Linked DNA regions of Macaca mulatta. The protein of the gene in region 1 purifies or fractionates together with the protein of each later gene. This does not show direct contact. Links are inferred from orthologs where the notes say so. Each region holds a gene or a part of one and is shown on either strand. Other genes may lie near its edges.

Region 1 (7,624 bases):
TTTTGTTTTTGAGAGAGTCTCGCTCTTGTTCCCCAGGCTGGAGTGCAATGGCGCAATTTTGGCTCACTACAAACTCCGCCTCCCAGGTTCAAGCGATTCTCCTGCCTCAGCCTCCTGAGTAGCTGGGATTACAGGCGCCTGCCACCATGCCCGGCTAATTTTTGTATTTTTAGTGGAGATGGGGTTTCACCATGTTGGCCAGGCTGGTCTTGAACTCCTGACCTTGGGTGATCCACCCGCCTCGGCCTCCCAAAGTGTTGGGATTATAGGCGTGAGCCACTGCGCCCAATTTTTTTATTTTTAAAACATTTCTGACATTTTGTTTAACTTTCTTTTTGCTTTGGTCAGTCTTTCTTTCTCTTTCCTTCTTTCCCCCTAACTACCCTTCCCTTCCTCTCCCCTCCCCAGTTCTCCCCTGTCCTTTCCTTTCTTCCCCTCTCCTTTTGCGACAGGGTCTCACACTGTTGCTCAGGCTGGAGTGCAGTGGTGCTATCACTACTCACTGCAGCCTCAATCCTTGGGCCCAAGTGATCCTTCTACCTCAGCCTCTTGAGTAGTTGGGACTGCAGGAGTACACCACTATACCCAACTAATTTTTGTTTTGTTTTGTTTTGTTTTTGAAGAGATGGAGTTTCTGTATGATGACCAGGCTGGTCTGGAACTCCTGAGTTAAAGTGACCCACCTGCTTTGGCCTCCCGAAGTGTTGGGATTACAGGCCTGAGCCACCCTGCCAGGCCTCTTTCTTTTCTTTTTCTTTCATTATTTCTTTTATTTTTTTAGCTGCTCCTTGCTGAGCAGGGCTAAGGAGTAAGCAGTGGTCTGCCCCAATGTTTCCATTATGTTTCTTTTTCTTATTGCTTTGTAACAGCTTTTTGTATTTTGTTTATTTCATCAATCATTTCTTCCTAGATTGTAAATTGTCTTTCAACCTTACCTAAAGTTTGCCATAAAGAAGCTTTGTCAATTTTTAGCTGTTCTTTGAAGATTTTAAAACATTAATTGCTAAAAAAAAAAAAAACAGGGACAACAGAAAACATGGGTGGGCTACAAAGTATAACAAAGTCTTACGTAGTCATCACCATTTTGATCTCTGGTCTCTTGCAAATGTGCTTCAAACCCCAGCTTGGGCACTTTCTGTCTGATTGTAGGTATTTTTTTTTTCCTTTTTTTTTTTTTTTAAGAGATGGGGGTCTCAGGCTGGGTGCAGTGGCTCACGCCTGTAATCCCAACACTTTGGGAAGCTGAGGCAGGTGGATCACCTGAGGTTAGGAGTTTGAGACTAGCCTGGCCAACATGGTGAAACCCTGAGACCAGCCTGGTCAACATGGTGAAACCCTATCTCTACTAAAAATACAAGAATTAGCCGGGCGTGGTGGTGCGTACCTGTAGTCCCACAGTTACTTGGGAGGCTGACGTAAAAGAATCACTTGAACCCAGGAGGCTGAGGTTGCCATGAGCTGAGATCATGCCACTGCACTCCAGCCTGGGCGACAGAGTGAGAGACTCCGTTTCAAAAAAAGAGAGAGAGAGAGAGAGAGGGAGAGAGCGCGCGATAGGGGTCTCACTCTGTCGCCCAGACTGGCGTGATCATAGCTCACTGTAGCCTCAAACTCCTAGTCTTCAGCGATCCTCCTGCCTCAGCCTCCCAAGCAGCTGGGGTCACGGGTCTGAGCCACCTCGCCAGGCTGCAGGCAAATTTCTTAATCTCGCCAGGCTCCAGTCTTCCAGTCTATAAAATGGGAATAACAAAATTTGCTTATAGGAATTTGCGGAAATGTGTAGTTCTGGGTTTGGGTGAAGACCTCTGCCTTTCTCTGTAGTAGGTTCATAAATCAAATCACAGCAGTCAGTGTCCTAAAAACTGACTTTATCTGGGTTTTCTAAGTAGACGGTTTGAGGAGTGGTGGAGAAAAAATTTGAGAAGAAATTAAGATTTATTGAGTACTTACCGCCAAGTAAGGTGCACTGGATCATGTTAATCGTTAACTCGTGGAAACTCTTCGGAGTGTGTACGCTTTCTTTCTTTTTCTTTTTTCTTTTTTTTTTTTTTGAGATGGAGTTTCGCTCTTGTCGCCCAGGCTGGTGTGTAAGGGCATTGTCTTGGCTCGCTGCAACCTCCGCCTCTAGGGTTCAAGCGATTCACCTGCCTCAGCCTCCCGAGTAGCTGGGATTACAGGTGCCCGCCACCACGCCCGGCTAATTTTTGTATTTTTAGTAAAGACGGGATTTCACCATATTGGCCAGGCTGGTCTCGAACTCCTGACCTCGGGTGATTCGCCCGCCTCGGCCTCCCAAAGTGCAGGGATTACAGCAGTGAGTCACCGCGTCCGGCCCGGAGTGTGCATTATCCCAATTTTACGGGGAGTAATTGTGCTCACGGAATCCAGTTTTGTGGTCCCTAAGTCTAATCGGTTCACCACCAAGTCGCCACAGCGCGCCTCCGCACGGAAGCCCTCCAGGCACTTCTACTTTCCCCGACCCGCCTCCCGCTCCATCGGGTTACATGCGCCGTTAGCAGCGTGGGCGGAGTTGGTTCTGGCAGAACCAACTGGTCCGGCTTCTGGTGTCTCCCGCTCTCTCAATTAAAAGCCGGCTCCTTGCCTTTCGGCTTCCCCACCGTGCCTTTCGGGATTTGTAGTCAGACGCACTTCAGCCGGCTCTAAGGAGAGCAAAGACAAGACTCCAATTCCCAGCATCCCCCGCGCCGGGAGTGTGCATCGTCTATTCTAATCCTCTTCACTTTTCCACTCCTCCCCTTACCTCCCTTCTCTTCTGAATTCTCCATTCTGGGCTCTTGCCTGTGAAATCTTTCGTCGCTTTCCCCATCTTTTCTTCGCATTTTTTCACCATCTTTCCCTCAGTTTCCAGGAGCCAATGCGAGACTTTGGCTCCGATTAAGCGACGGCCCGAGACTCGGGGTGCGCGAGGAGGATCGACAGAGTGGTGAGGGGACCTAGGAGGGCGGGAGTGGGAGAGGTATGAGAGAGACAGGTGAGTGAGAGGCGAGGAGTGGGAGGAAGGCAGGGAGAAGCTAGGAGATCGGAAGGCGTGGGTCAGGGTGAATGGGGTGAACTAGACTTGGGAAGGGAAAAGAGGTGGCTTTAGATTTGGGAAGCATGGAGGGGAGAGGTTACCGCCGTACTTAGCAGAAGTGGGCTAAGAGATAGAAGATAGGAAGTTCGGGTAGATTTGGAGCTTATAGACTGATCTGACCAGGAGGGATGGAAGAGAGAGGTGTGGGCTCAATTTTCTTTGTCTCTGTTTAGCCGAAGATGAGACAAGTCATTGAAATACAAAATGATCTTGCAAACACAGGACAGTTGACAATTCTGTCACTTGGAGCAGAGGAAAGACTGGAGTTGAAGGGCAGAAACAGGGTGAGGAGGCAAGAAAGGGATGGAGATTGGTCAGGTTTTTGAGAAACCAGAGGAATTGAGTGTCATGGGAAAGGAGGCCACAGAAAAGGTGGGGTTATTGTGGGGACTCATGGATCTGGAATCAGAAAGGTCAGGGGTGACACTGGCATGGATGGTGGGGGTGCGCTTCTGATGTCTGCATTCCTCAGGTGATGGAGAGCACCCCTTCAAGGGGACTGAACCGAGTACACCTACAATGCAGGAATCTGCAGGAATTCTTAGGGGGCCTGAGCCCTGGGGTATTGGACCGATTATATGGGCACCCTGCCACTTGTCTGGCTGTCTTCAGGTGAGGATCCCCTTCATGGCAGGGAAATGTAATGGGGTCTGCGGACTGGAATAAAATATAACAGATAAAAGTGTAGCAGGCTGGGGTAGGGGTGGGGACTCGGGGTGCGGCTTGGAAATTGCTCCAAAGTGTGGGGGCCAAAACAGCAGGACTGGTAAAGTTGTGGTGGAGTGAGATGAGATGTTTGAGAGTTAATTGAGGGCAGAGATGCAGATACAATGCAGCTTCTGATATTAACCTTTGACCTCTGTCCCTGTTCAGGGAGCTCCCATCCTTGGCTAAGAACTGGGTGATGCGGATGCTCTTTCTGGAGCAGCCTTTGCCACAAGCTGCTGTAGCCCTGTGGGTAAAGAAGGAATTCAGCAAGTAAGTCTCAGCCAGATACAAATTTCTCAACAGCTACATTTCCCAAACTACTGTTCCTTGGAGCACTTCCAGGACGTATTAATAGGTATATCACAAAACTTAAAAATAAATACATTTGGGAAACTCTGCATACTGCCTTTTCCCTTTTATTTATTTCCCAGCTGACCTCTTGCTTTCAGATGTATCTTCCCTCTTACAGAGTTATGTGTGATATCTGTAATAAGGCTCTGATAGGTAATGCAGTAAAGAATTTGTCTTCAGATACTAATATCACTCTGTGGAACAGTGTTCCAAGGATCAGCAAGTTCAGAACAGGCAGAGAGGTGGCTTTTATGGTCCTCCTTTTTGTTCTCCAAATACCCTGCTCACCTCTCTGCTTCTGTTCCAGGGCTCAGGAGGAAAGTACAGGGCTGCTGAGCGGCCTCCGGATCTGGCACACCCAGCTGCTCCCAGGCGGGCTCCAGGGCCTCATCCTCAACCCCATTTTCCGCCAGAACCTCCGCATTGCCCTTCTGGGTGGGTATGTCACTTCTCTCTCTTCCTAAGCTAGGGCAGGGGAACTGCTGCTTATTAAACCGCTAATTACAGTTTGGGAGGGGGAGCTCCTGGGGGCCTCCCCGGAACCTTGTGGTCTCCACGTTGGGAGCTCCTTTAGGAGTAAGTTGGATCAGCTGCAGTGTGTGGTGTAGGAAATGTCCCCCACTCATGGCCCCTGAGGATAAGGGTGGAAAGATGGCAGAAGGGTGGCAAGGAACACAGACAGGGTTCCTTACTCTTTTTTTGTTGTTTTGTTTTGTGTGTTTTTGAGACAGAGTCTCGCTCTGTCACCCAGGCAGAGTGCAGTGGTGCGATCTTGGCTCAATGCAGCCTCCACCTCCTGGGTTCAAGTGATTCTCCTGCCTCAGCCTCCTGAGTGACTGGGATTACAGGCAACCACCAGCTAATTTTTTGTATTTTTTGTAGAGATGGGGTTTCACCATGTTGGCCAGTCTGGTCTCAAACTCCTGACCTCAAGTGATCCGCCCATCTTGGCCTCCCAAAGTACAGGGATTACAGGTGTGAGCTCCTGGCCAGGGTTCCTTACTCTTGGCCCATCCTGGCCTTAGGGGGAAGGCCTGGTCTGATGACACAAGTCAGCTGGGACCAGACAAGCATGCCCGGGATGTTCCCTCCCTTGACAAGTATGCCGAGGAGCGATGGGAGGTAAGCACTTGGGACTGTGTGTGTCTCTGCTTGTGCTTCTACTTCCCATGGCCCTTGGGGCATGGTCTCCCTGTTCTCTTCTGTTCTTCAGGTGGTCTTGCACTTCATGGTGGGCTCCCCCAGTGCAGCTGTCAGCCAGGACTTGGCTCAGCTCCTCAGCCAGGCTGGGCTCATGAAGAGGTGAGGAAACCGGAGGTATAGCAGCTCTCTGCAGTGCCATCTCCTTGGGTCCCTAAGAAATGGTATCTGCGGCTAGTCAAGCTCAGAGGACATTAGCTGGAAAAGGCAAGCTGAGTAGAATACAGCCAGAGATACAAAGAAAAAATGTGAGCGGACAAGTGGGGGTAGTAGTCTTTCTCTGCATATCACCGTCATTGTCCCGGTCTTTGTCTGTAGTACTGAACCTGGAGAGCCGCCCTGCATTACTTCCGCTGGCTTCCAGTTCCTGTTGCTGGACACGCCGGCTCAGCTCTGGTACTTTATGTTGCAGTATTTGCAGACAGCCCAGGTGAGGACGCCGGGGCCACTTGCCAGCATGCTCTGCTCCTCTCAGGTCTCACTGAGAGATTCCTGCCTACAGACTGTTCCCTGATTTTCTCTTCTCTGTCCCTTTCTTCCCATTGTCTCCCTCCCATCCCTCCTCCTTTGTCTCTGCCTCTTTCTCCCTAGAGCCGGGGCATGGACCTAGTAGAGATTCTCTCCTTCCTCTTCCAGCTCAGCTTCTCTACTCTGGGCAAGGTAAGCAGGGGGCTGAAGGGTATAGAGATGGGAAGGAAAAAGCAAATTGTGGGGCAGTAGAGTGAGAAGATAAGAATGAACACAGAACGAGCAGAGGTGGATGGAGAAAGACAGAATGAATGATGGGGTTGGGGGTGGGTGGGTTGTGTTTTGGACCCCAGCTGGAAACCTCTGTTCCTCAGGATTACTCTGTGGAAGGTATGAGTGATTCTCTGTTGAACTTCCTGCAACATCTGCGTGAGTTTGGGCTTGTTTTCCAGAGGAAGGTATGAGCGCCTAGATGAGTGGCTTCCAGGGAAGAAACAGGGTGGTGTGTTGCCTTCGCCTTTAAAAAGGAGTGGGGTCCCGGGGAAGTAGCAGGAAGCAGTTGCCAGAACTGAATACTTGGGTCTCTTGGGGGAGAGAAGTTGGAGGTTGAGGTTCTGCATCTTGGGAGGGATCTGATATTTCAGGCAGGAAGATGTAAGGCAGTGAATTCTGAGACAAGGCATCTGCCTTTCTATCCTTTCCAGAGGAAATCTCGGCGTTACTACCCCACGCGCCTGGCCATCAATCTCTCGTCAGGTGTCTCTGGAGCTGGGGGCACTGTGCATCAGCCAGGCTTCATTGTGGTGGAAACCAATTACCGACTGTATGCCTACACAGGTGAGGCGGGACAGAGTGCCCCGGAAGAGAAGGTTGGGGGTGAAGGAATGCCAGTTTCTGTTCATGTTTACCTGGCAGTTTTCAGAGCTCTCTGACATTTCTCATGACACTTGAAAGAAGGGCTTGAGGGAGTCTGGGTGTGGGGGTGGCCTCCTCATCCTCTTTCTATCCCTGGCTCAGAGTCGGAGCTGCAGATTGCCCTCATTGCCCTCTTCTCTGAGATGCTCTATCGGTTCCCCAACATGGTGGTGGCGCAGGTGACCCGGGAGAGTGTGCAGCAGGCAATCGCCAGTGGCATCACAGCCCAGCAGGTATTCCCACTTGGGAGAGGTAGAGCAGGAAGACAGGCTGCACTTGGGCTGTGGGGCACAGAGGGTCACATTATGGAAGGCTAGCTCTGAGTCTGTTATAATAGGTGGTGGTGAGTTGTCTGTGTTTGAAAAGAAATGAAGGCTTTGGGTGTGAGAACAGGTAGACTCTTGAGGGGAAAGAAACATAGAGGGAGGAGGTATAGCTGTGGATTTGTGCCTTGGCACCACCACCTCCTAACTGCGTAAACTAGACATAGTTGTTTTGCTTCTGTGAGCCTCAGTTTCCTCATCTAGTAAGTGACAGTTCTTACCTCAGGGTTGCAGGGATAATTCATTGGAAGAATAGGCGTAAAGCATTGAGCTCAGCACCTGTCATGCAATAAGTGCTTAAAAAAAAAAAGTAGCTTTTGCTATTTTAAAGAAAGAAAAACAAAACATTACTGGAAAGGGTGAATGTGCCAGAAAAGGAATATCCCAAGTTGCTGGGAGCAGCAACTTGGGATAACAGCTGAACTGGGATGGGTAGAGTTGATGACAGGAGTTAGGAGTTTTTAGAATAAGCTGATGTTCCAGTGACATTAGGTGACAGCTCAGATGGCTTTCCTGCCTTCTTGCTGGAGCCCTCATGCCATTCTTGTCTGTTTTCCTAGATAAT
Region 2 (7,641 bases), on another chromosome or scaffold:
AAATAAGTGGCCTGATAAAGAAAAAAAAAACTACCATTTTCTGTAATTGAGACAATGTTCATCCTTGAACAGAAAAAAAAAAAAACCACGAAATCCAATCTTCTTCTATATGCATACAATCAATTCATTTGTGCATTTGCTAGATTAAATTGATAAGTAGAGAAATATCCTTCTTCAATTGCAAGCAGCTAAGACAGAAAGGTATTTAATAATGTTTCACCTCTTTTCTCTCATCTCTGCTCCTGTATTTTCTCCCTTAAGTAAAACTCCTAGTTAATTTTTCCATAACCCTATAGTTCCTCTTTTATGAAGCACTACTCCTACTCACTTTATCACTTGCCTCCAAAAAGTCTTCGCTACTTGAGGACACGAAAAAAAAAATAAGTTAATAAAATCCTGTGGAAGTCAGCCTTCAAGATAGCCCAGTGATATTCACACTCTTGGTATTCACACTTTTGTGTGTACTCTCCCACATTATAACACTACAGTACACCAGAGGTGATGGTATATCACTTCTATCATTAGGTTTTAAAAGGCTCTGCAGCTTCCAGTTCCCTTCCTCTCTCCCTTTCTCTCTTCCCCGCTCCATCTCCCCAACCTTCCTCACCTCTGCTCATATCATTAGTTCTGGGAGAAGCCATGTCATAAGTAGACCTATGGAAGAGTCCATGGGGAGGAACTGAAGCCTCCTGAAAAGAGCCACATGAGTGACCTTGGAAACGGATACCCCAGGCCCAGTCAAGTCCAGACTGCAGTCCTAGCCAACAACTTGACTACAACATCGTAAGACTGAGCCAGAATCATTCAGCAAAATAATACCTGCTCCTCTCAAGCTAACAATCATATTATTAAAATGCCTATATTCAATCCCATGAAATACATGCTATAAAAACCCAACGAAGTATCAAAAAAATTTTTCATTAAGAGCCAAGATGAGGTCGGGGACAGTGGCTCACACCTGTAATCTCAGCACTTTGGGAGGCCGAGGCGGGCAGATCACCTGAGTTTGGGAGTTCAAGACCAGCCTGACCAACATGGAGAAACCCCGTCTCTACTAAAACTACAAAATTAGCCGGGCGTAGTGGTGCATCTCTGTAATCCCAGCTACTCGGGAGGCTGAGAAAGGATAATTGCTTGAACCCGGAAGGCGGAGGTTGCGGTAAGCTATCACACCATTGCACTCCAGCCTGGGCAACAACAGCAAAACTCCATCTCAGGCCGGGCGTGGTGGTTCATGCCTGTAATCTCAACACTTTGAGAGGATGGATGTGGCTGGATCACCAAGTTAGTAGTTTGAGACCAGCCTGGCCAACACAGTGAAACCCCCATCTCTACTAAAAATACAAAAATTAGCCGAGCATGGTGGCATGCACCTGTAATCCCAGCTACTTGGGAGTCTGAGGCAGAAGAATCACTTGAACCTGAGAGATGGAGGTTGCAGTGAGCCGAGATCATGCCACTGCACTCCAGCTTGGGTGACAGAACAAGACTTCGTCTCAAAAAAAAAAAAAAAATCCAAGATGTTTTTCTTATCAGAAAAACATCTGATAAGATGCTTTTAAACATCTTTTAAAATGCAAGATTTTAAAAAATACTATTACCCAATATTGGCAATAGGAATCTCCATACAGTTGTTGGGAACATAATTGACAAGATCTTTTTTTTTTTTAAAGATGGGGTTTCCCTACGTTGTCCAAGTTGGTCTGGAACTGCTGGGCTCAAGCAATCCTCCCTCCTCAGCCCCGAAGTAGCTAGGATTACAGGTAGGCACAACCATGCCTGTCTTGACATAATCTTTTTTGAGAACAACTGGGCCATATTTATCAAATTTAAAAGCCAGAAACTCTGACCCAACAATTCTACTACTGGACATTACCCTGTGATTTTTACCTGTTATATCTTATGATATACTGGCCTAAGTGCTCAAAGATATATATATAAAGATATCAAAGATATAAATATATGCATATTTATGGATGGTTACTCCAGGGAAAAACTGAAAATTAAATAAATATTAATTTTTAAAATTTGGGTAAATAAATTATATTTGAACAATGGACTACTATCAAATTGTTAAAAGAAAAAAACATATGCATATTGATCTAGAGAGATTATCCAATATACATAATGAAAAAAGCAAGGAAATATATACATATATACACACATATATATGTTTCTGCTATATTCCTGTTTATGCTAAAGGAAGAAAAAGTTTTCTACCCAAACACACCCATGTTTACATATGCATAGAAAATATCTGAAAATATACACAAACAACCTAAAAGTTGTCACCTCTGGAGAAGTGAACCACGAAACTTTTTTTTTTTTTTTTTTTTTTGACAGAGTCTTGCTCGGTTGCCAGGTTGGAGTGCAGTGGCACAATCTCAGCTCACTGCAAGCTCCGCCTCCTGGGGTGAACTACAAAAATGTTTACCTTTCACTTAATAATTTAGGTTGCTTTTATTATTGTTTATATAATTTTAATTTTTTTAAATGATTGCCAAAAAAATCAGTGAGTTCTCGCCTCCATTCAGAAACAGCAGTGTGTTAGCTTAAAGTACTTCTTTAAAAAGATGACTAATTAGATAGTCAACATGCTAAAGAAAATTACAACAGAGTCGTTATAATCAAAGCTGTATTTTCATGTTTTATAGTGTACCGAAATCATTTAAAGCTAATCATTATTGTGCAAGTATTTCATAGCAGGCCAAGTAAGTCCTGTTTTAATTTTATTTCTACTTATCACCCATGCCACACGCAAAGAATATTAATAATAAAATAGCCAATATATAGTAAACAAATATTATGTGACAGAAACTCTACTAAATATCTCTAAATATTTTACATATATTATTTAATACTTAAGGACCATGATACAAGCAGCAATATTTTCTCTATTGTACAAACAAGAAAAACTGCTAACAAAGAGTTAGTCATTTGCCTAAGGCCACAGAGCCGGTAAAAGAATGTGAAATCAGACAGGCTCATTCCAAAGCTTGTTCTCTCAGCCAATATGCTACAGCCTTTTACTCATTTTGTTCACATTTCAAGTCAAAAAAGGACTGTAAAATGTAGCCTGTTATCTAACAGGTTAGCAAATTAATCAGATTAAATGCAACACCAGAATGAATTAGACAAAAGTCTTAACTCTTAGACCTTAACAAAAAGGGCTGAGGACACAACAAAAGCAATTTCAATTAAAATAAATATTTTATAATTGCCTAATGAAAATGCCATTTATGTTAACTGAAATCATATAATCCTCCCTGAACGCTAATTGCTGCTAGGCCAGAAAATTACATTTAGCATCCTTCTGGTAAATTACATTTAGTTAGCATCCTTCCCAAAAAAATAAACTCTCTTTCCTGTTCCACTTTCCTGTTTCCACTATAACAAACCTGATAAAGAAAAATGGAGAGAAATTGAACGAAATCTCTCTAAAAACAGTCTATCTACAGTGTTTTCCACATAGAATTCCCTTTTCCATGCATTCTTCTTGATTACTTTTACCTTACTTCTAATCTTAAACCATTCAATCACAGCTCTACTATACTTCCTTTGCAGAGTAAAGCAAAGGAAAATAAAGATTAGAAAAGTTAAGTAAGCTAATAAATCCCATATAATAATTATAGCTACAGCTAATCATGTAATTTATGCTTAGCTAAAGACCCTGTCATTGCTCTACGTTTTTGTCAGCATTTGGGGATTGGGAGGAGACCTTGTCTACACACTGTAGATTATCCATTATTTTTTGCCTCCAATAAACCTCAAAGAAACTACAGGAATATGTGCTCACCATTACATGGCACCTTTTTATCCCAAAGTGCTTTCTAGAACCACCTTCACTAAACCACATCTGACAAGAAATCTGGCAAGAAACACTTTGACCAATTCCTGTTTCAAAATACACAAACTCAACCTCCCTCCTTCTACCCCCTTCCCTTGAAAATGGGCGTTCTAAAGTCAGACTTCCTGGGTTCCAGTTCTCTCAAGGCCCACTTAATAAGGGCCCTTGAGCAGTCTCGATTTCCTTCCCTGTGAAATGGAAATACCAGTACCTACTTCATGGGACTGTTGTAGGAATGAACTGAGATAATTCATGGTAAGGCGCTTAGAACACTGCCTGGCACAAAATGTGCACTCAAATGCCAGCCATTATTATATCTTCAAAATTAACTACCTAGAGTCCGGGTTTTCTTCATTTTAATGATGGGAGTCTAACCGAACTCCATCAGGACAAGTGGGCATACACATGGGGTTTTTTAATTAACTCATACAATAAATAGCAGCAGTATATACTCAAGCAAATTTTAAGTTTTCATAGCACTTTCGCACTTTTTCAATAAAAACATTTCATATGAAATAAACCCTCCAATCCCCCACGCTTTTAATCAGCGATGTCTAGAGCCCAATAAACACCACAAAGCCTGGAAATACAGTCGGGATACTACTCATTGGCTATGGAGGAGGGAACCTGACAAACTGCTGGGAGCCACACTGAGAACCCGCAGTTCAAAGCATGCCAGAGCCGCTCGGGGCTAGCGGCTACCGTCCATTTAAAGCCACAACGCCGTCTTTTCCCATTTCCTCACCAATGTTGAAACTTCAACACCACCAAACTTCTTCAACAACACCAACGCCCTTTGCTCCCACTAAAACGAGGCCTAGCATCTCCCGGCCCTCTCCTCCCACCCAGCACGTCTCTCCCCCAGGGAATCCACTGCCGCCCAACTCACAGAGTGTGTCCGCACACATTCACCATCAGCTTCAAGGAAGGGTTCCGATATTTGGTGGTCTTACACCGAGGGCAACCCTGATCATCCATGGCGGTTTCCCTCCTACAGACTCCCCCGGGCGCCTGCTTCAGCCACAGCCACCTTACAAGCCCCCTCAGACGCGACCAAGCAGGTTCCTACCAACAGGCGCTTGGCAGAGATGGTCCCTTCGCGAAAGAGCACCGGCCAGGGGCGAGGCGCTGCAACACAAACGTTCCGGCAGTCAGTTCCCCGGTCTTGCATCTAGAGCTTGGTCTTAGCCTTCCGTAAAGCAACTTAATACCTTGAATTTGACAGGGGAACTTTTAAAATGGCAAATTAAACACAAATCCGTGTCTCCACGCACCCAGTTGCGTTTTTCAAGGTACTGTGTCACAATTAGGAAGATAAATTCCATCTTGTTCTGTCTGGAAACATTCCCATGATTTCAAAGATTTATGAGCAGAGTACTTATTTTCTTTTGGACCACTTAATAGCCTGTGCTTTATACTTCTTTATAATTGCATAGTCATGTAAGCTCGGCTGATAATATGCATTCGCAGATATAAAATTTGAAAAAGCTATCTACTCCCCCATCAGACAGTATTTATTTCCCCAAATACCTAGGATAAAATCACGTAAGAATACATGGCCGGGCGCGGTGGCTCAAGCCTGTAATCCCAGCACTTTGGGAGGCCGAGACGGGTGGATCACGAGGTCAGGAGATCGAGACCATCCTGGCTAACACGGTGAAACCCTGTCTCTACTAAAAAATACAAAAAACTAGCCGGGCGCGGTGGCGGGCGCCTGTAGTCCCAGCTACTCGGGAGGCTGAGGCAGGAGAATGGCGTGAACCCGGGAGGCGGAGCTTGCGGTGAGCTGAGATCCGGCCACTGCACTCCAGCCTGGGCGACAGAGCGAGACTCCGTCTCAAAAAAAAAAAAAAAAAATACATACAGAAGAATTTAGTTCAGCAATTCCAAGATCTGATAGCCTGAATATCTATGTAAATTGTAAACCATGTTCATCACATTTATCAAGAAGGCAAATTGAAGTCTGTAAACAGCTCTATTAAATAATAAACTTTCCCACTGTAAAGGACACATCTTATTCATCTCCAAAATAAAGATTTGTTGATATTTAATAAGTAGACTAAGTGAAGAATTAATGAATGACTATCAAACAATAGTGTAATGTGAAAATTTTAGTGTCATTTTTGTAACCACCTTCACCTGACCCAAACTCCATCAGAAGGCAATATGAAAACAAGATTTTTGGCCGGGCGCGGTGGCTCAAGCCTGTAATCCCAGCACTTTGGGAGGCCGAGACGGGCGGATCATGAGGTCAGGAGATCGAGACCATCCTGGCTAACACGGTGAAACCCCGTCTCTACTAAAAAATACAAAAAACTAGCCGGGCGAAGTGGCGGGTGCCTGTAGTCCCAGCTACTGGGGAGGCTGAGGCAGGAGAATGGCGTGAACCCGAGAGGAGGAGCTTGCAGTGGGCTGAGATCCGGCCACTGCACTCCAGCCTGGGTGACAGAGCAAGACTCCGTCTCAAAAAAAAAAAAAAAAAAAAGAAAACAAGATTTTTCAACTAATCTTATACAATGAATATGAGCTATATGCATTTATAGTAATTTTAACTCATCATAGAACTTGTGTTCTTTTCAATAAAAACATAAAAAGGAACATTCCAACTCACATTTTTAAACAGTGAACCTGGTAGGCAACCCAAAACCCAATACAGTTGGGATTTCCATGGGTATGGAGAGGGACGCTGACAAACAGCTGGATACCACACCCAGGAACGAGCAGATCAAAGCAGGCTGTGACAGAGCTTTACATTAGTATGAAGACATCAAGGATTCATCTAGTAAATAAACCATATCATCTCTTTGATCATCATATTGTTCCTCAACAGGAGTTAACCAAACGTAAACTTACTAAAATAGGTAACACAAAATACTATGCTACTATGCTGACCTGGAGGCTTATTATGCTGCTGCTATTGTCTTATTGAAAGACCACATCCAGACCAGTTACATGATTCAGAGTGAAGCTCTTCAAGAACAAAGGCCACTCTAGTACCTTTATATTTCAACAGAACAGGAAACTTATGTTGAAAGAATGTTATATGTGCAAATAAAATTTGTAGCCAATACTACATTGAGGTCATCCACTCAGATGGCATTATAGTTTAATGCCACTAGGACAGTTTTTGTTTGTTTGCTTGTTTGTTTTGAAACAGGGTCTCCTGTTGCCCAGGCTGGAGTGTAGTGGCCCGATCATAATTCATAGCAGCCTTGAACTCCTAGGCTCAAGTCATCCTCCCACCTCAGCCTTCTAAGTAGCTGGGACTACAGGTGCTAGCCACCAGTCCCAGCTAATGTTTTTTTGTTTTTTTTTTTTTAAGAAATGGGATCTCACATGTTGCCCAGGCTGGTCTTGAATTCCTGGGCTCAAGCAGTCCTCATACCTCAGGCTCCCAAAGTGCTGGGATTACAGGCATGAGCTACCATGCCCAGCTATCCAGGACAGTTTTAATTATGTCTTTGAAGATGAGACCCCAACCACATTGTGAAGTGAATTGCTTTTCCTTTCTCCCGAAACTTAAGATTAAGGCAAAGAAAGCACTAAAGATTGTGAGAAGTAGCATTGCTACAAGCTTTATCCTTTTCCTAGGTGGGAAACTACTAACTTGGAAGGATAGTAGCAACAGCTGACTTGGAAATCTGTCAGATAAGCTTTACTTATGGACCTAAAGACAGTAGAAAATAGCACTTACAGATTTGGTCTCTAGTACCAAGAGAGTTGAATTCAAGTGCTGGCTTTATCACATGATTTATATGACCTCAAGCCTCAGTTTTCCCAATTCTAAGTTCAGG

The links. The genes of interacting proteins can lie anywhere in the genome.
Region 2: the proteins of GTF2H4 (region 1) and MNAT1 purify together in Homo sapiens (co-immunoprecipitation; 3 studies listed by BioGRID and IntAct, with this or other methods). This does not show direct contact. The link is inferred for Macaca mulatta from reciprocal best matches to the Homo sapiens genes GTF2H4 and MNAT1.

Annotation. Positions count from the first base shown.
Region 1 is NC_133409.1:152,143,085-152,150,708, reverse strand, and holds the start of GTF2H4 (general transcription factor IIH subunit 4), read left to right. Parts: upstream 1-3,569; coding exon 3,570-3,706; intron 3,707-3,967; coding exon 3,968-4,072; intron 4,073-4,460; coding exon 4,461-4,592; intron 4,593-5,178; coding exon 5,179-5,275; intron 5,276-5,366; coding exon 5,367-5,455; intron 5,456-5,671; coding exon 5,672-5,783; intron 5,784-5,944; coding exon 5,945-6,013; intron 6,014-6,195; coding exon 6,196-6,279; intron 6,280-6,525; coding exon 6,526-6,658; intron 6,659-6,838; coding exon 6,839-6,969; coding exon of another isoform or gene 6,970-6,988; intron 6,989-7,619; coding exon 7,620-7,624. UniProt on the Homo sapiens protein: Component of the general transcription and DNA repair factor IIH (TFIIH) core complex, which is involved in general and transcription-coupled nucleotide excision repair (NER) of damaged DNA and, when complexed to CAK, in RNA transcription by RNA polymerase II.
Region 2 is NC_133412.1:133,860,060-133,867,700, reverse strand, and holds the start of MNAT1 (CDK-activating kinase assembly factor MAT1), read right to left. Parts: upstream 4,906-7,641; 5' UTR 4,826-4,905; coding exon 4,737-4,825; intron 1-4,736.